Oryctolagus cuniculus: one gene and its partners. The protein of the gene in region 2 purifies or fractionates together with the protein of the main gene of each other region. This does not show direct contact. Links are inferred from orthologs where the notes say so. Each region holds a gene or a part of one and is shown on either strand. Other genes may lie near its edges.

What was found.
Region 1: the proteins of MAP3K5 (region 2) and STUB1 purify together in Homo sapiens (affinity purification with western blotting; 3 studies listed by BioGRID). This does not show direct contact. The link is inferred for Oryctolagus cuniculus from reciprocal best matches to the Homo sapiens genes MAP3K5 and STUB1.
Region 3: the proteins of MAP3K5 (region 2) and DAXX purify together in Homo sapiens (affinity purification with western blotting; 7 studies listed by BioGRID and IntAct, with this or other methods). This does not show direct contact. The link is inferred for Oryctolagus cuniculus from reciprocal best matches to the Homo sapiens genes MAP3K5 and DAXX.
Region 4: the proteins of MAP3K5 (region 2) and ARRB1 purify together in Homo sapiens (affinity purification with western blotting; 3 studies listed by BioGRID and IntAct, with this or other methods). This does not show direct contact. The link is inferred for Oryctolagus cuniculus from reciprocal best matches to the Homo sapiens genes MAP3K5 and ARRB1.
Region 5: the proteins of MAP3K5 (region 2) and MAP2K3 purify together in Homo sapiens (co-immunoprecipitation; 4 studies listed by BioGRID and IntAct, with this or other methods). This does not show direct contact. The link is inferred for Oryctolagus cuniculus from reciprocal best matches to the Homo sapiens genes MAP3K5 and MAP2K3.

The regions. Positions count from the first base shown.
Region 1 is NC_091450.1:34,026,449-34,029,732, reverse strand, and holds STUB1 (E3 ubiquitin-protein ligase CHIP), read left to right. Parts: upstream 1-1,207; coding exon 1,208-1,363; intron 1,364-1,530; coding exon 1,531-1,729; intron 1,730-1,804; coding exon 1,805-1,970; exon of another isoform or gene 1,971-2,054; coding exon 2,055-2,142; exon of another isoform or gene 2,143-2,264; coding exon 2,265-2,507; exon of another isoform or gene 2,508-2,577; coding exon 2,578-2,703; 3' UTR 2,704-2,774; downstream 2,775-3,284. Other genes in the region: RHBDL1 (rhomboid-related protein 1), read left to right, coding at 1-12, 82-142, 214-868; JMJD8 (jmjC domain-containing protein 8), read right to left, coding at 2,778-2,858, 2,935-3,069, 3,143-3,210, 3,282-3,284. UniProt on the Homo sapiens protein: E3 ubiquitin-protein ligase which targets misfolded chaperone substrates towards proteasomal degradation.
Region 2 is NC_091436.1:32,275,215-32,278,727, forward strand, and holds part of MAP3K5 (mitogen-activated protein kinase kinase kinase 5), read left to right. Parts: intron 1-1,824; coding exon 1,825-2,002; intron 2,003-2,080; coding exon 2,081-2,249; intron 2,250-3,513. UniProt on the Homo sapiens protein: Serine/threonine kinase which acts as an essential component of the MAP kinase signal transduction pathway. Plays an important role in the cascades of cellular responses evoked by changes in the environment.
Region 3 is NC_091436.1:135,802,941-135,807,161, forward strand, and holds the start of DAXX (death domain-associated protein 6), read left to right. Parts: upstream 1-1,417; 5' UTR 1,418-1,556; exon of another isoform or gene 1,557-1,674; intron 1,675-1,781; exon of another isoform or gene 1,782-1,915; intron 1,916-2,047; exon of another isoform or gene 2,048-2,184; intron 2,185-2,765; 5' UTR 2,766-2,817; coding exon 2,818-3,024; intron 3,025-3,178; coding exon 3,179-4,010; intron 4,011-4,110; coding exon 4,111-4,221. UniProt on the Homo sapiens protein: Transcription corepressor known to repress transcriptional potential of several sumoylated transcription factors. Down-regulates basal and activated transcription.
Region 4 is NC_091432.1:66,421,632-66,425,144, reverse strand, and holds part of ARRB1 (beta-arrestin-1), read left to right. Parts: intron 1-1,537; coding exon 1,538-1,582; intron 1,583-2,134; coding exon 2,135-2,331; intron 2,332-3,341; coding exon 3,342-3,401; intron 3,402-3,513. UniProt on the Homo sapiens protein: Functions in regulating agonist-mediated G-protein coupled receptor (GPCR) signaling by mediating both receptor desensitization and resensitization processes.
Region 5 is NC_091448.1:65,856,989-65,860,501, reverse strand, and holds part of MAP2K3 (dual specificity mitogen-activated protein kinase kinase 3), read left to right. Parts: intron 1-582; coding exon 583-649; intron 650-901; coding exon 902-950; intron 951-1,576; coding exon 1,577-1,690; intron 1,691-1,819; coding exon 1,820-1,939; intron 1,940-2,500; coding exon 2,501-2,617; intron 2,618-3,332; coding exon 3,333-3,384; intron 3,385-3,513. UniProt on the Homo sapiens protein: Dual specificity kinase. Is activated by cytokines and environmental stress in vivo. Catalyzes the concomitant phosphorylation of a threonine and a tyrosine residue in the MAP kinase p38.

The DNA of each region.
Region 1 (3,284 bases), on a different chromosome or scaffold from region 2:
AACGTCGTCATGGTAATGGGCGCCCGCGGGGGGCGGGGCGGGCGCCGCGGGCCTGTCTCACGGCCTCTCCGCGCCCCTCAGAACTGGGCTGGGATGCGGTGTCCCTACAAGCTGCTGCGGATGGTGCTGGCCCTGGTGTGCAGTGAGTAGGGGCGGGGCGGGCGGGGCGGGCCCGCGGGCGGGGCGCCGCCCACCTGCCGCCTCCCTCCGCAGTGAGCTCGGAGGTGGGCCGCGCCGTGTGGCTGCGCTTCTCGCCGCCGCTGCCCGCCTCGGGCCCGCAGCCCAGCTTCATGGCGCACCTGGCGGGCGCCGTGGTGGGCGTGAGCATGGGCCTCACCATCCTACGCAGCTACGAGGAGCGCCTGCGGGACCAGTGCGGCTGGTGGGTGGTCCTGCTGGCCTACGGCACCTTCCTGCTCTTCGCCGTCTTCTGGAACGTCTTTGCCTACGACCTGCTGGGCGCCCACGTCCCCCCGCCGCCCTGACCGCCTCCTGGGCACAGGGGAGGCCCTGCCCCCGCCCCGCCCCCGGGTCCGCGGTCCGCGCCTTTTGCAGAGTGAATAAATATTTTACACGGCACCAGGTGGCTGTCCGGGGTCTGGAGGCGTCTCTGCCCCCCGCTTCCCGCGGACCGTGCGGGGCCCTCCCATCTACGAAGGGACTGGGCTGCGGCCCCAGGGGACAGGCGGTGGGTGTCCTGGCCCACGAGTTCGGCCTGCACGCCGTGGGGGAGGGGGCCAGGCTGGGGCCGGTCAGGCACGGTGTCCCACCGCCCATGCCGAGGGGGCGGCGCCGGCGGGGTCGCTCCCACCTGTGCGGACGCTGCCTCACGGGCCGCACAGGGTGCCCGGGCGGCTGCGGCAGCTGAGGCCGTACTCAGCTGCGGGTCAGGGCGTCCTGGGTCGTCTCCGCCGGCGGGGCCCGCCCCCGGGGGCCCGCACGCGCTGCACGCCTCGGCCTCCCGCTGCCCCCATGCCGGGGGCGGGGCGTGCGCGGAGGGGCGGAGCCCGGCCGCAGGGAGGCGGTCCTTCGGAGGCTCCGCGCGGCGGGCCCCGCCCCCACCCCGCCGCAGCGCGCACGCGCGACCCCGCCCCCCGCGGCCGGAAGTTCCGGTGGCGGCGATCCGGGCCGGGCCGAGCGGGGCGCGGGCTGCGGGCGGCCGGGCGCGGAGCCCGCGAGCGGAGCCCAGGCCGTGCCGCGCGGCGCCATGAAGGGCAAGGAGGAGAAGGAGGGCGGCGCGCGGCTGGGCGGCGGCGGCAGCCCCGAGAAGAGCCCGAGCGCGCAGGAGCTCAAGGAGCAGGGCAACCGGCTCTTCGTGGGCCGCAAGTACCCGGAGGCGGCGGCCTGCTACGGCCGCGCCATCGTGAGTGCGCCGCGCCGGGGGCGGGCCTGGCGCCGGGGCGCGGCCCTTCGGGGCCCCCCGGCTTGGGGCGTTTGACTCGGCCCCGGCGGCGGCGGCCGCCCGGGTGCGGGTGCGGTGCGGGTGCGGCCCGCGCGCACGCCCACAGCGCGGCCGCCCGCTCTCCCCAGACGCGCAACCCGCTGGTGGCGGTGTACTACACCAACCGCGCCCTGTGCTACCTGAAGATGCAGCAGCACGAGCAGGCGCTGGCCGACTGCCGGCGCGCGCTGGAGCTGGACGGCCAGTCGGTGAAGGCGCACTTCTTCCTGGGCCAGTGCCAGCTGGAGCTGGAGAGCTACGACGAGGCCATCGCCAACCTGCAGCGAGGTGGGCGCGCGGCGCGGGGCGCGCGGCGCGGCTGCGGGCGGCCGGCCGGGCTGACCGCGCGCCCCGCGCCCGCAGCCTACAGCCTGGCCAAGGAGCAGCGGCTCAACTTCGGCGACGACATCCCCAGCGCGCTGCGCATCGCCAAGAAGAAGCGCTGGAACAGCCTGGAGGAGCGGCGCATCCACCAGGAGAGCGAGCTGCACGCCTACCTCGCCAGGCTCATCGCGGCCGAGCGCGAGAGGTGGGCCCCTCCGCGCGTTTATTGACAGCGGGGCGGGGCGGGGCGGGGCGGGGCGGGTCCTGACGCGCGGCCGCTCGCCCGCAGGGAGCTGGAGGAGTGCCAGCGGAGCCACGAGGGGGACGAGGACGACGGCCACGTCCGCGCCCAGCAGGCCTGCATTGAGGCCAAGCACGTGAGGGCGGCCCGGCCGGCGGGCGCGGGCCCCGGGGGCGGCGGGGGCGGCGGGGGCAGGCGGCGCTGGGCCGGGGGAGGGCCGTGTGCGGCCCCGGGGCAGCGCCCCCTCGCTTCTTCCAGGACAAGTACTTGGCGGACATGGACGAGCTCTTCTCGCAAGTGGACGAGAAGAGAAAGGTGAGCCTTGTCGGCGGGGCCCGTGGGCAGGTGCCGGCCGCCCGCCCACTGAGCGCGCCCTGTGTGCAGAGGCGCGACGTCCCCGACTATCTGTGCGGCAAGATCAGCTTCGAGCTGATGCGGGAGCCCTGCATCACCCCCAGCGGCATCACCTACGACCGCAAGGACATCGAGGAGCACCTGCAGGTGGGTGCGGCCGCGGCGGCCCGGCCGGGCGCCCCGCCCCGCCGCGCCGCTGACCCCGCTGTCCCCGCAGCGCGTGGGCCACTTTGACCCCGTGACCCGGAGCCCCCTGACCCAGGAGCAGCTCATCCCCAACCTGGCCATGAAGGAGGTCATCGACGCGTTCATCTCGGAGAACGGCTGGGTGGAGGACTACTGAGCCCCTGCAAGGCCCGCCCCCGCCCCCGCCCCGGCGCCGCCCCTGTCCTGCAATAAAGTCCGTGAGCACGAGCGCTAGCCCAGGAAGGTGGAGATGAACACGCACGTGTCCAGGTTGAGCGTGGCGTGCCACCAGCGGGCCGGGAAGTACAGCACCTGCGGGAGGGGCGCGGGCGTCAGCGGGGGGCCTCGCCTCCCCCGCCCCGGCCCCGGCCCCGGCCCCGGCCCGGACCTCGCCCGCGGAGATGGTGCACTCGAGCGGCCGCGCGGCCGGGGCCAGGCCTGGGTACGTGTCCCGGAGCCAGGCCAGCGTGGTCTCGTTGGGGTGGAACTGCGGCGTCTTCTCGGGCGGGTACAGGAACCAGCGCTGGGGGAGGGGAAGCGCACGCTCACCCCGGGTCCGCGGGTCCGCGCGCCCAGCCCCTGCCCACGGCACTGACCTTGCGGCCGTAGATGACCTCCGAATACCCGGGCCCGTGCCAGTGGAAGGGCACCCCGGTGCCCGCGCCTGTGGGTTTGGCGGGTGAGCAAAAAACCACACCCCCCTGCCCTGCCCCCGTCCCCGGCTCCCGGGAGCACCTG
Region 2 (3,513 bases):
AGTGTTCCTCCAGTATGTCCATTTGTCTCCGTGGCCCACTGCCACCACCCCATCCTGTTCATGAGCATCGATTTGTCACTGTAGCAAATGGAGTCAGGAAGCCACTGCTGACTGGCCATCCCCCGACTTTAAAAAAAATTTTTAAATCTATTTTCATTTTATCTGAGAGACAGAGAGAGAGAGAGAGAGATCTTCCATCTGTTGTTTCAATCCCAGAATGCCTATAAGAGCCAGGGCTGCGCCAAGCTGAAGCCAAGAGCCAGGAACTCCATCTTCCATGTGGATGGCAGGAATCCAGCTGCCTGAGCCATCACCTGCTGCCCCCGGGGTTTGCATTAGCAGGAGGCTGGATCAGAAGTGAGCAGCTGGTGTGGAACCTGGCACTCTGATGTGGGATACAGGCGTCCCGAGCAGCATCTCAACTGCTTATCAGATGTCCACCCCCGTCTCCTGACCTTGAGACCAGTTGCTGCTTCAGCCCAGCCCAAGAGGAAGCAAGTAGAGAGGAGTTTCCAGGCAACAGTGGATTTCTTTTCTAATAATTTCACGTCTGCCTTCTTTAGCAAAAGACTTTTGGAGCGCTGGAATACGTGTTTGATAAAAACGTTTCTGGCAAATATTTTGTTCTTAAAACCAGTGTTTGATGAAAGGTCAGCAGCCCCCATTGTGCCAGCTTAGTCCCCATCTGAATAAAGTAGAAGCCTGTGTTTGCTATACAACCATAGTATCTGAGAACTACGGACCAAAGAGATCATTAGTCCATTGCTTTCCAGAATCTGTTCTTAGCAGAGAATGCCTTTTCATTTGCCTCCTCATACAAAGCCAAGATACATGCTGGCCAGAGCGTTACTCGTTTTAGAAAAATAGAGTTGGACCTGTGGTCCAGACTCAGCCTCACACCCACCCCACCCTTGGCAACCCCAGTGCTAAGGAGGATTCTTAAAGCTCTGAAGAACATGGCTTATAAATTACAAGTTTCCCAGCCCTCTGCTAATGTGCCTGGGAAGGCAGTGGAAGATGGCCCAAGCACCTGGGCCCCTGCCACCCATGCGGGAGACCTGGATGGAGTTCTTGGCTCCTGGTATTGATCAGGCCCAGTCAGAAGAGGTGAGATGTTTTTCTGTCACTCTGCCTTTCAAATAAATAAAATACATCTCTAAAAATTGAATCTGGTTCTGTATCTTATAGATGTGAAAATGGAGACCTGTGGATAAAATAATAAATAGTTAATAAAATGAAGGGATCCGAAGCCTGGTGCTTCTACATCTCTTTCATATCCTTGAGAGATTCCTTTCAGGGCCCGGGAGTCCCTTTCGTGGCTTACATTTCTTTACTGAGCTCGGGGCAATCACAGTCACACAGCCAGCTCCTTGAGTAGCAGAATTACACCTCTCATTGCACTGAGATACGTGAAGACGACTGTTGGCATCTTTCTGCAGCTATTTCAACATGTGTACTTTTTAAACAAAAATTTATTTGAAAGGCAGAGAGAGAGAGAGCGCGCGCAAGTATGAGAGACAGAGATCTTCCGTTTACTGGTTTACTCCCTAAATGCCTGCAACAGCCAGAGCTGCTCCAGGCCATAGGCAGGAGCTAGAAACTCCATCTGAGTCTGCCCCAAGGGTAGAATGGACCAAAATACTCGAGCCGTTACCTGTTACCTCCCAGGTGCAGTGGCAGGAAGCCAGATGGGAAACAAAGGCTCAATTCCAGGTACTCTGATGAGGATGCGGGGTCCCAACCCGCTGTGCCACAATGCCCGCCCCTCGCCACGTGTCAGTTGTCAGAGGTGTGAGTTATGCCTGTTGCTTCTCGTCCACGCAGAGTATCTCAGGAGCATCTCCTTGCCGGTGCCCGTCCTGGTGGAGGACACGAGCAGCAGCAGCGAGTACGGCTCTGTTTCCCCCGACACTGAGCTAAAGGCGGACCCCTTCTCCTTCAAAACCAGAGCCAAATCCTGCGGCGAGAAAGATGTCAAAGGAATACGGACCCTCTTCCTGGGGTAAAGGGCTGCCTGGCCCGGGGGGCGGGCGCGTGGCTCCCCGGGACCTTGCGCCTCATGCCGCTCCCCTCGTTTCAGCATTCCAGATGAGAACTTCGAGGACCACAGCGCACCCCCTTCCCCCGAGGAGAAGGACTCTGGGTTCTTCCTGCTGCGGAAGGACAGCGAGCGCCGCGCCACGCTGCACAGGATCCTGACTGAAGACCAAGACAAAATTGTGAGAAACCTGATGGAATCTCTAGCTCAGGTACGGCCCCACCCCACCTCCACCCCCACCCCTACCCCTCAGTGATACTTTGTGTCCAGAGCTTACAAGTTCTCCCTGTGTCACAGCACCTGGGGCTGTCACAGAGCATGGGAGCCATGAGGCCCCTGAGGTGCTCGCCGTGATAGACTATCCTGGGAACGGAAAGAAGCAGTTCCTAATATAGAGACTGGAATGGGGAAGCTATTCTTTTTTAAAAAAGATTTTATTTATTTATGTGAAATGGAGAGTTACAGAGAGAGGGAGAGACAGAGAGAAAGGACCTCCATCTGCTGGCTTGCTCCCCAAATGGCCGCAATGGCTAGAGCTGTGCCAATCTGAAGCCAGGAACCAGGAGCTTCTACTGGATCTCCCATGTGGGAACAGAGGCTCAAGCACTTGGGCCATCTTCTACTGCTTTCCCAGGCCATAGCAGAGAGCTGGATCTGAAGAGGAGCAGCCGGGACACGAACCAGTGCCCATATGGGATGCCGACGCCACAGGTGGAGGCTTAGTGTCCCCCCAGGAAGCTATTTTTAAGTCAGAAGCAATTTTTTTTTATGTTGGAGAGGTTACAGCCAGTCCCTTTCAGCCCTGTTTGTTCATTTGTTTATTCTTTTAATTCCATTTGTTCAGTCAACAGGCCTTGAGCCTTGTGTACCTCTGACTCCCATGTTAGCAGGAAGCCACCTGCCAGCTGTGGTTTTGAATGTTTGGGAAGCATCACAACCACAGCAGAGACGTGGTTCTTGTGGCACTGGGTTCAGATGCAGGGTGAGAGCTCTAAGAAGTCTCTGCTGTTCGCTGTTAGAGGGTTCTGTGTGCAGTGAACCAAGCAATTCTGGGTGATGAAGTTGTTGCTCCGTGGTGTATTTGTGTGCTAGAGATGCTGAAGCAAAATACCACAGGCTAGGAGGCTTCAGCCACAGACGTTTGTTTTCTCTGAGTTCTAGAATTGACAAGTCCAAGGTCAAGATGTCAGAGGCTTTGGTTTCTCCGAAGACCTCTCTCCTAGGTATGCAGATGGTTTCCTTCTCGCTGTGCCTTCACATGGACTTTTCTCTGTACAGGTGAACCCCTGCTGCCTCTTATTTTTAATTAAGATTTATTTCCTTATTTATTTATTTATTTGAAATGCAGAGAGAGATCTTCCATCCACTGGTTTACTCCCCAAATGGCTGCAACAACCAAGTCTGGGCCAGGCTGAAGCCAGGAACCAGGAAGTATATCCAGTATCTCAGTTGGGTGGCAGGGGCTTGGGCTGTCC
Region 3 (4,221 bases), about 100 Mb from region 2:
ATTGAGATGAAAAATGTCTTTCTTGGGGCCGGCGCCGTGGCTCACTTGGTTAATCCTCCACCTGCGGCGCCGGCATCCCATATGGGCGCCGGGTTCTAGTCCCGGTTGCTCCTCTTCCAGTACAGCTCTCTGCTGTGGCCCGGGAAGGCAGTGGAGGATGGCCCAAGTGCCTGGGCCCTGCACCCGCATGGGAGACCAGGAGGAAGCACCTGGCTCCTGGCTTCGGATCGGCACAGCGCCAGCCGTAGTGGCCATTTGGGGGGTGAACCAACGTAAGGAAGACCTTTCTCTCTGTCTCTAACTCTACCTGTCAAATAAAAAACATTTTTTTAAATAAAAAAGTCTTTCTTGCGATTTTGACTCTTTGTTAAAAATATTTATCGTTACAATTATGAAAAACGAATTTATCAAGCAGCACAAAGATTGTGCAAATTTTTGCATTACGAATTTTTAATAAGCTAGAAGATTGTGTTCATGGTGCATCGCTGAAATAGACCACGTGTCTTTTGACTTCAGCCAGGTAAGAGACCCAGGCAACTTCACGGCTGTGAATTATTATAAGATGGAGAAAGTCCATTGTGAAGGGGAAGGAAGAGGGAGAACCTCTACCGCAGGCGCTCGCTCTGGGAGCCCAATTTTGGGAAAGCTGAGGATCTGAAACTTAAATCCTCTTTGTCAAGACCCAGTGGTCTTGGCGAGTTTTGTTGCTCAATTTGAAGGCTGTAGGCCTGGACGACTGGCGAGAAGTGACAGGGATTCTCAAAGGAAGCGTCAGGGATGCAAGGCCGCGGGCCTGAGGCAGGAGGCCACCACCCGCGCGTGGGCTTCGCGCTGTCCCCGCAAGCGCGCCTCGGGACGCGGCCCGGCCTCCCCCACGCGAGGCGTCTCCTCCGGCTCCTTCCTCACTCTGTCCTCGGCTCTCCCTGAGGAGCAGGAGACCACCGCGTCTCCCCGCACGCGCGGGGGCCATCGCCCAGCTGCTCCCCCCAGCCCCCGGACCCCACGACAGAGCCTCGAGGGGCCGATGCCGCCGCAGCGTCCAGGCCCCACTCGGAGAACAGCGCAGCGCCGCTCGGGTCCCGCCGGCTTGGACGCTGATTAGTTCTGAGGCGGAGCTCGGAAAGCCAGTCAACAACAACGTAGCGATAGTAATACCACCACCACCACCTTCAGGGAGCGCGGTGCTCGTTTGTACGCATGCGTCGACATTTCCCGGCCGGGGACGTAGCACCTGGAAGTGGAAGCGGCGGCCGGGCAGCGGCGAGGGGCGCAAAGCCCATTAAGCGGTGGAAACCGGTACCTGGGAGATAGGAAAGCAGGACCGGAAGCCTCACTAATTGCCCAGCGGAAGGAAAAGGTTTTATTTCCCCGTTTAGACACGCCTGCCCTTTCCTGAAGCCATGCACAGCCTTGGCGACCCCAGTTCTTCAGCCAGCCTATTCCACTGCCCCCCTCCCACCCCTGGGAAAGGTGGCTCAGTGGTCTCGGCACGCGACTAGCTGGCGGTTGGGCTCGAGGCAGGAAGTTTCTGATTGGCGGAGTCCCAGAAGCACCAGGTGAAAATAGCTCCGCCGGCTGAGGGCCCAAGTCACTGCAGAGCTGGGGCCGTACAACAAAATGGCGGCCCCCAGCAACTTCGGGACGCCCTGAAGGGGCAGGCCCCGCCCCCTACAGGTCAGGGGGAAGGGAGTCGCGGGCTAGGTGGGCGGTACTAGGCACGCTCGGTGGGGCCTTCCGGAAGCAGGAAGGCTGGGCTCCGTACGACAATATGGCCGCGCTTATACGCGTGTAGGCGGAAACTCCGCGGCTTCCGGTCTGTAGTGGGGCCTGCGGTGGGAGGGGGAAGGAAGGCGGAGGGAACCATGCGAGGTTCTGAGATCAGCGGCGAGGGTCGTCTCGTGAGACCGTTTCTGAGGTGCGGGCCGGACTGTGTGGGGAGCGAAAACGGGGGAGGGGATATCGAGGAGGCGGTACTGGGGAGACGCGGGCTCTGAGTCTGAGAGGCATGCTCTGGTACCTTATTCCTGAAGGGAAGTGGGGCGGCTAGGGGTCTGACCTGGGGGAGGGGGACTTGGCGGGAAGCTCATCTACCCTGCCGGCGCGACTCAAGGGTGGGATCCGAGAAGAATCGGGAGAGCCCACTGTAGGTCTCACGATCGGTTACAAGTCACAGAGAGCGACCAGGTAAAATCAGGGTGGGGTGAGAGGGAGGGCTCTTGAGGTGTCATACTCCAACCCAGTGCCCTGGTTTGAAGAAGCCCATCAGAGGGTGAAATACGGAGTTAATAGCAGGAGGGGAAAGGAGAATGGATCGTTGAGAGGACTGTTGGATTGTCTAGGAGTTGGGGTGATCATTAAGGGTGGGGTATGGGTTTGACATGTTTCGGGGTGAAAGGGGCCAGACGTGAGGCAGCCAGAGCGAGTGTGTTTTCCGTGTGTGAGGGTGTCATGGGAATCTGGGAAGCGGGACTGGGGTTGGAAGAACCAACTTGACAACTATGAGAAATAGTGGGGAGATGGAACAGAAAGACCGGAAGCCAATGTGAGAGGTAGAGCTGGGTGTGGCGATTGAATGTTTGCGGTTCCCTGTCCTGGGCCACTTGAAGGGCCCGGGAAGGCATCCAGAGCTAATGGTTGCAGAAGACAGGCAGTGAGGACACTGTTGGGCAGGGCTGGGTGTTGCTGAAACCCACGGAGATTGGAAACTGAGCTGAAGGGAGGGGCTATGCTGGAGGGGCTCTTTCTGAGGCCCCATCCCCTTCCAGCAGGAATTCTGAAACCCCCAACACTTCCTCCCTCCGGGGGATTTGATCCCTCATGGCCACCGCTAACAGCATCATTGTGCTGGATGATGATGACGAAGATGAAGCAGTCGCTCAGCCAGGGCCCTCCCACCCACCCCCCACTCCGGCCTCACCCCAGGCAGAAGCCCCTGGCTCCTCTGAGCCCCATGGGGCCGGAGGAAGCAGTAGTTCTGGCGGCAAGAAATGCTACAAGTTGGAGAATGAGAAGCTGTTTGAAGAGGTGAGCTTTAGGGGAGAAGATTCTTATACCCCAGGGAGGGGGATGGCGCACTGGCTCTCTGGTCCTCTCTCCCCCACTAACTGCACCCCCCCTTCTCTCTCTCAACCCCCTCCCTTGTCTCTTGTCCGCTCTCTTCTTCCCCCGAACCCTCCAGTTCCTTGAACTGTGTAAGACGCAGACAGCGGACCACCCTGAGGTGGTCCCGTTCCTCTCCAGTCGGCAGCAGCGTGCCCACTCTGTGTTTTTGGCCTCAGCCGAGTTCTGCAACATCCTCTCTCGGGTCCTGTCCCGGGCCCGGAGCCGGCCCGCCAAGCTCTACGTCTACATCAACGAGCTCTGCACCGTTCTCAAGGCCCACTCAGCCAAGAAGAAGCTGAACTTCGCTCCTGCTGCCACCGCCTCCAGTGAGCCCTCTGGGAGTAATACTTCTGCAGACCCGGCCTCGGAGCCCGGCAATGCTGAGGCCGCTGTCTCCGAGGCCCCAAGGACCCGTGGCTCCCGCCGGCAGATCCAGCGCCTAGAGCAGCTGCTGGCACTGTACGTGGCGGAGATCCGGAGGCTGCAGGAGAAGGAGCTGGATCTGTCAGAACTGGATGACCCAGACTCCACGTACCTGCAGGAGTCGCGCTTGAAGCGGAAGCTGATCCGCCTCTTTGGGCGACTGTGCGAGCTGAAAGACTGCTCTTCGCTGACCGGCCGGGTCATAGAGCAGCGCATCCCCTACCGCGGCACCCGCTACCCAGAGGTCAACAGGCGCATCGAGCGGCTCATCAACAAGCCAGGCCCCGACACCTTCCCCGACTACGGTGATGTGCTGCGGGCCGTAGAGAAGGCAGCTGTCCGGCACAGCCTCGGCCTCCCGCGCCAGCAGCTCCAGCTCATGGCCCAGGACGCCTTCCGAGATGTGGGCGTCAGGCTACAGGAGCGACGCCATCTCGACCTCATCTACAACTTCGGCTGCCACCTCACGGATGACTACAGGCCAGGTAGCGGGTTAGCGGGGTGCCCGTCGGAGGCAGAGGGGACCGCTCGCCCTCTCTGCCAGGGTGTGGGCTGAGTGCTCTGCTGTCATATCTTCCCATGTAGGCATTGACCCTGCACTGTCAGATCCTGCCTTGGCCCGGCGCCTTCGGGAAAACCGGACCTTGGCCTTGAGCCGCCTAGACGAGGTCATCTCCAAATACGCAATGATGCAAG
Region 4 (3,513 bases), on a different chromosome or scaffold from region 2:
CTGCATGAGAGACCTGAATGGAAGTTCTAGGATCCCAGCTTTGGCCTGGCCCAGTGCTGGTTGTTTTGGGCATTTGGGGAGTGAACCAGCAGATGGAAGACCTCTCTTTCTCTGTTACTCTGCCTTTGAAGTAAATAAATAAATCTTAAAAACAAAACAGAGGGAAGGTGTGTGGGCAGTGCCCTGTCACTTGGAGCTGCCAGGGTGGCACTCACTTCCAGCCAGAGCCTCTGAGATCACGAGTGGCCCTGTGGCAGCCCGGGGTGGGCGTGGGGATCAGAGAGGAGACAGACATGGGTGAGGCGGGAGGTTGCCCCTGTGCCAGTGTCTCTGGGCTCCTGGGGAGCTGGCGCCAGGTCGGCTGGAGCCTGTGCTCTGAAGGGCCAGCTTGCTCGCTCACTGGCCACAGGGCTCACGCCTGCCAAACTCTGTCCGGGTGGCTCACACGTGTGACATTTTGCACAGTGTCCCCAGTCAGTCTTCCCAGGAGCCCTGGGAGTGAGCCATGCAGATCACAGCCCCTGACCCACAAACCCCAAATGCAAGAAGCTCGAAAGTCCCGCAGCTGTCCCTCGGCATGATGCACAGTTCGTTTATCTGTGGAACTTGACCGGAACTGATGGGAGGCTGGGCCCTAGCTGGCCTGGGAGGGGTAGGGGTGAACGCAGTGGCGCGTCTGCCTTCTGATGTGTCATTGGGTGACGTCACTGCGTGCACATGCAGAAGCTGAGGCAGCTGTGTCCTGGGTGGCATTGCCTGACAGGGCCGCCCTGTTGTGCAGCCACTGCTGAGTGAATGCTGGGGCCAGGAACAGACGGCCTTGGGTTTCCTTGCGGAGGGGGGAGTGGCTTGCCCTGTGAGCACAGTGTGGGACCTATGGAACATGCGCTAGTCAGAACTGCCCCGCTCCGAAGTGTGGTCCTGGGGTCTCCCAGCCTGTGTCACTGTCCTCTCTTTATTGAAGATTTATTTATTTGAAATGCAGAATGACAGAGAGAGAGAGAGAGAGTGATAGAGATCTTCCATCCACTGGTTCACTCCCCAGAGGACTACCGCAGCCAGGGCTGGGCCAGGCCAGAACCGGGAGCCAGGAACTCCATCCAGATTTGCACTAGGGTGGCAGGGAGCCAAGCACTTGAGCCATCCTCTGCTGCCTCTCAGTGTACACGTAGCTGGCAGCTGGACCAGAAGTAGAGACGGGACTCAATTCCAGGCACTCGGATAAGGGATGCGGCATCACAAGCTGTGACTTAACCCCCTGCGCCACAGCGCCCCACTCCCTCCGCCTCATGTCATTACTCTTCCTTAGAGATGAGGAGAGGTCCCTAATCTTCCCGGAGCCACCCAGTCAGCTGGGTCTATCCCGCTGACCTGGGGGAGAGGAGGGGAGGGCTTGGTGGGGCTGGGGCTGGGGTGCCGCCCCCGGGGTTGGCCTTCCCATTTCTCTCATGGTGCGTTTGGGTGGATGGAGGATTGAGTGTAGGGTGGCATTTGGGGCTCAGGGGTTGGGAAGGTCACTCTCTCTGTGCTCTCGCAGATGGTGTGGTCCTGGTGGATCCCGAATACCTGAAAGAGAGGAGAGGTAGGCTGCAGCCCCACCCCCACCTGCCACGGGGCCCCTCTCCCACGCCTCCTCTGTCCAGGGACCTCCTGGCCTCCCAGGGGGCCTCCGGCTCATCCCACTGCCACTCCCTGCCCATCCCTAGTGGGGCCTCCTGCCCCAGCCCTTTCACACCAGTGAGGGCTGGGGATGCCGACAGAGCAGGAGTTAGGACAGGGCCCCAGGGAGGGGAAGGGATTCTGCAGGGTCAGCGGGAGGAAGGGACGAGATGCCTGGCAGACACCTCCCAGCATTAGCTCGCCCTCCCCTGCTGTCCCCTGCCCACCAGCCCCAGCCCTCACTGCCCATCAGACCACTCCCTGTGCCCCCACCCCAACCAGGCAAGAGTGGGACAGAGATAGCCACCGGCAACACACCCACAGGCACACAGCCCATGGGCTGCCCTTCCAGGCCCCCAGTCCTGGCCTCTCCAAAGGGAGATGGGTGACCGCCGGGCTGCAGCGGGAGCTCTGGGTGGGGGAGGCTCCCTGCTGCTCTCCAGGCCCCTCCTCAGTGGCCCCTGCTCCCCCACAGTCTATGTGACACTCACCTGCGCCTTCCGCTATGGCCGGGAGGACCTGGACGTCCTGGGCCTGACCTTTCGCAAGGACCTGTTTGTGGCCAACGTGCAGTCCTTCCCGCCGGCCCCTGAGGACAAGAAGCCCCTGACGCGGCTGCAGGAGCGGCTCATCAAGAAGCTGGGCGAGCACGCCTACCCATTTACCTTTGAGGTCAGGGACTGCCACCCTCGGGCCCCTTCTGGAAGGGCGGAAGGGGGCAGCTGCTCCGTGTCACCCACTTGTCCCACGTATGCTGGGCCCTGGGGCACTTACGTGACCTGGTACCTGTCTCTTCTCTGGTCACTGCTAGAGCGTCCTCCTTACTTGTGGGATCCCCGCTGAGTAGGAGGGAGGGGAACCCAGGGGCCGCAGAGAGAAGGAGCACTGTGCTGTGTGGCCCCAGATCGCTGGGCCCGCCTGCCTCCCAGCTCCAATGCCCTGCCCTGCCCCCTGCCGATTCCAAGACCCAGATTCTGGGTTCCAGAACGCCGAGCTCCTAGGCTGATTCCATGCTGTGGGCATTAGAGCCAGGCGGGCTGCGGGCGTCTCTCTGTGCGGATGTGAGTTTCCTGCACTGCCCCGCAGGCCCCGGGCGATTACCCACAGCGATTAAGGCAGCTGACGTGGGTGATCTCACAGCTCTGGCAGCTGCAAGTCTGATATGGGTCTTGCCGGGCCTGGATCTGGGTGCTGGTGTGGCCGTGTTCCTGGATTACCGCCTCCCCCCACCTGGATTACTGCCTCCCCCACCTGGATTACTGCCTCTCCCACCTGGATTACCACCTCCCCCCCTCCCACCTGGATTACCGCCTCCCCCACAATCCCAGGTCCTTGACTCAGTCGCAGCTGCAGAGTCGTGTTGCTGTGGAAGGTGACCTAGCCACAGGCTGGGGGCAGCAGGGGGCAGGCAGCCTTGGGGGCCGTCACTCTGCAGCAGACGCCAAGGAAGCCTCCTTCCCTGCTATGACCGCGACGACAGGGCTGCGGGAGGCATGGCATGGCACGGTCTGATGGGGAGGCCCAGCTTGTCCTCGGGAGCCTCTAGTCTGATGGGGGAGACGTGTCTTGTCCTCGGGGCCCTCATCTGATGGGACAGGCACAGGCTCTCAAGGGCCTGGTGTGATGATGTGTGGGAGTGGCAGGAGTGCGGGTGACAGTGGCTCGTTCTGTCTCCTGAACAGATTCCTCCAAACCTGCCATGCTCTGTGACACTGCAGCCCGGGCCCGAGGACACGGGCAAGGTAGGTCACCCCAGGGGAATCTCTCTGGTCCAGGGCCCTCTTGTCCCCAGGTCCTGGCCTTCTCCCTGGTTGGTGCTGGACCCATAGGACCACCTGCCTTGTTGGAGCTTCC
Region 5 (3,513 bases), on a different chromosome or scaffold from region 2:
GGACGCCAGCCGCGTCTGGCGTGCGGTGCCTGTGCTGTGTCTCAGTTCCCGCCCTGTGCCGTGGGGACGAACAGCTGTGCCCTCAGTTGGGAGCTGTGGCGAGCGCGTCAGCAGGTCACCCTGGGTCGGGGCCTAGCACTGTCCCTTCCCCCTACCAGTGCAGGGCCTGGCAAACCCCAGGCACTCAGACCTGGCCCCGTGCCCCGGTGCTGGACAGGCTGCGAGCCTCGTCCCCTCGTCCCTCACGCCTGGTGAGCTCCTGGCGGGTTCTGGGTGCAGCCCAGCTCCTGCGGGCCCACAGGGCTTGAGCCTCAGCCATGTGTGGGGCCAGCACAGTGTGGGGTGTGGCCCTGAACTGGGCCCCGGGGCGCTGCTCCACCTGTACCATTGCTGTGAGGGTGGGTGCTGAGCCCCGGGCCGCCCCGGTGCTGGGAGACCCTCAGGCCCCTGTGAGTGGGAAGCAGGACCCCCTTGAGAGGGGGCACCTTAAGTCAGCTCTGTCCCTAGCCTGGCCCGTCCCTGGGGAGCCTAGGGCATGTTGGTGGACTGGGGGTTGACCAGATGCCTCTTCTCTCTTTTTAGGAAAATCCAAGAGGAAGAAGGATTTACGGATCTCCTGTGTGTCCAAGCCGCCTGCGCCCAACCCCACGTGAGTCGGTCTCAGTTTCCCCCGGCTCATCTTGGACAGGCTTCCTGGGGTCCCGGCGGAGGGAGCCCCGAGGAAGGGGGCTGGCCCTGCCCTGAGTGGCAGAGGGTTGGGGGGGGAGGTCCCAGCATCACTGAAGCTCTGTGCCCCACCCCATCCTGGGGGCTTGGCCCATGTGACAGCTGGGGTCCCCTGCAGCTCCTCAGCCCACCCTGGCCCTCTTTGAACTCAGTGTCTGCTTCCCCTCCCCCACAGACCACCCCGGAACTTGGACTCCCGAACCTTTATCACCATCGGAGACAGGGTAGGTGCCGCCGCCGCCGCCGCCGCAGCCCTGGGCGCAGCCTCGCCATTCTCTGATGAGCGCACCACGCTGAGCCGCTGGGAGGGCCCTGGGAGGTGGAGGAGCCTGGCTCCTGGGGTTGCTGGCCGTGGCCCTGGGCCGCCTTCTCTCTGACATCCCTGCAACCTGGGGTCCGTGGGGAGCCGAGTGAGCATGGCGCTCTCCGGAGCAGGCTCCTGGGCCAGCCAATGCCCCCACGTGCCCACCCAGGCTTGCCTGACCTCCGGGGCCCTCCCTCGACTGCCCAATCGCTGTTCTATCACCTGCACACTCGTCTCTCCTGGTGGAAGGAGCCCCTTTGAGGGCAAGGCCTTCCTTTTGTTCTCACTGGGAGACTTGCACGTGGCAGGTGCACTCAAGTGGCCGGGGGTGGGGGCGAGGGAAAGGGCAGCTCCCGGGCTCCCTTGGGTGTTGGTATAATGAGCAGCTCAGAGAGGTTCAGTGACTTACCCAGGGTCACACAGCAGGGACCGAGCCCAGATCTGAAAAACCGATCTTCTCTCTCCACGGTCCCAGCTGTCCCCACTGGGCCAGCTCCCAACTGGGTGCCCACCAACCCCCTCTCTATTCTGCCCCTCCCTCCCAAGAACTTCGAGGTGGAGGCCGATGACCTGGTGACCATCTCAGAGCTGGGCCGTGGCGCCTACGGGGTGGTGGAGAAAGTGCGGCATGCCCAGAGTGGCACCATCATGGCCGTGAAGGTAAGCGCCGTGCCCACTCGGCTCCAGGGCCTGGAGGCAACCGGGAGGGCTGCCTGGAGGAGGTGTGCGGGCGAGGGCTGTCTGCCCCCTGCCGGGGCGGCCTCTCCACTGCAGCCCCTTTCCCCGCAGCGGATTCGGGCCACCGTGAACTCACAGGAGCAGAAACGGCTGCTCATGGACCTGGATATCAACATGCGCACAGTGGACTGCTTCTACACCGTCACCTTCTACGGGGCGCTCTTCCGAGAGGTGCGGCCTGGCAGGGTGGGGGCAGGGGGTGGGGTGTCGAGGGGCCTGCGCCAGTCTGCCTGTCTGCCAGGAGCCTCTGTCACTCAGCCCCGCCTTTCTGCATACCAGGGGTTGGGGACACGGGGCAGGCTAAGCAGAGCCTGCACAGCTGGGATCTTAAGCAGCCCAGGCCCTGGCATGGGACGGGCCCGGCTCCCTTGCCTGCCATCTGGCACTGCCCTGCTCTGTGCCTCCGTTTCTCTGTCTGTGACTATACGCACCTCTCAGCGCCCTCCTGTGGTGGGCATGGGGGCTGAAGCCATGCACCAGCAGGTGCAGCTGCAGCCTGGGGGTCGGGGGCGGGGCCTGGCTGTGCAGGGGTGAGGTTCTGGGTCTGCAGGAAGGGCAGGCGAGGCAGCCAGGGCTGAGCCACCACAAGGCAGGGGGCAGCGAGGCAGGCCCGTGTTGCTGGCTGGCTCACGGCTGTCCTGGAGGGCTGTGGGTTTAGGAAGCAGAGGGAGAGGCCGACGTCCCAGGTCGGCGCAGGCGCGCAGGCCCGGCTAAGCCCGGTGCCGCCCCCAGGGAGACGTGTGGATCTGCATGGAGCTCATGGACACGTCGTTGGACAAGTTCTACCGCAAGGTGCTGGAGAAAGGCATGACAATCCCGGAGGACATCCTGGGGGAGATCGCCGTGTCTGTAAGTAGGCTTGGCGGGGGCGGGTTTCCAGGGCCAGGGCCAGAGGCCCCCTGGTACTGCTCAGCTCCCTGACTCCAGACCGGAGCCTTCTCGCTGGGAGATGCCAGACCAGGCTCCGGCCTCTAAGAGCAACTCTGTAGCCCCTGCCATTGTTAAAAAAGAAACTTAGCATTTCCACCTGCCTCCCACCAAGCACAGCGCAGGGCAGCTGCAGGGGTGCAGGCCAGGCTGGGGAAGGTCCGCATTGAAGCGCTGGGTCTTGGAGGAGGGCTGGAGCATCCTGGCAGCCAGAGGGAAAAGGGCAACGGGCTTCTTGGTACCACCAGAGGCTGTCCACCCTGAGTGGGGACATTGAAAGCAGGGTGACTTCCTACGAGGCCAGCAGCTTGCCGGACCAGGGCAGGGGACTCGGGGAGACTGGGCTCTGCCCCAGAGGAGCCTGGTCGGTGGTGTGATGGCCCTGGGAGGGGGGTACAGCCTGGGATCCCTGGGGGTCCGGGGCAGGGCTTATGACCCTGAGGGTGAGAGGGGGCGGGCAGGAGGTGGGCGTGTCTGGGCCAGGATATCCGGGGTGCCAGGGCAGCTGCTGGGTCATAGGCAGGAGTCCGGGTGGGGGCGGGGGTGGCAGGGCTGCAGGGGGCTCAGGAGGTGGACATAGGGTTGTGGGAGGGGTCTGGCTGCTCCGATCCTCACCGGCCGGCCCTGCCCTCCCCAGGTGGTGCGGGCCCTGGAGCACCTGCACAGCAAGCTCTCGGTGATCCACAGAGGTCAGTGCTGTGGGAGGAGCCTCGGGCTGTGGGGCGGGGAGGCAGCTGGGGTGGGGGACCCCCTGCCCAGCCCAGAGCCTCCTCTCCCGCCCCGTGCCTGGGGCCACTTGTCCCGGCTGGGGATCAGTG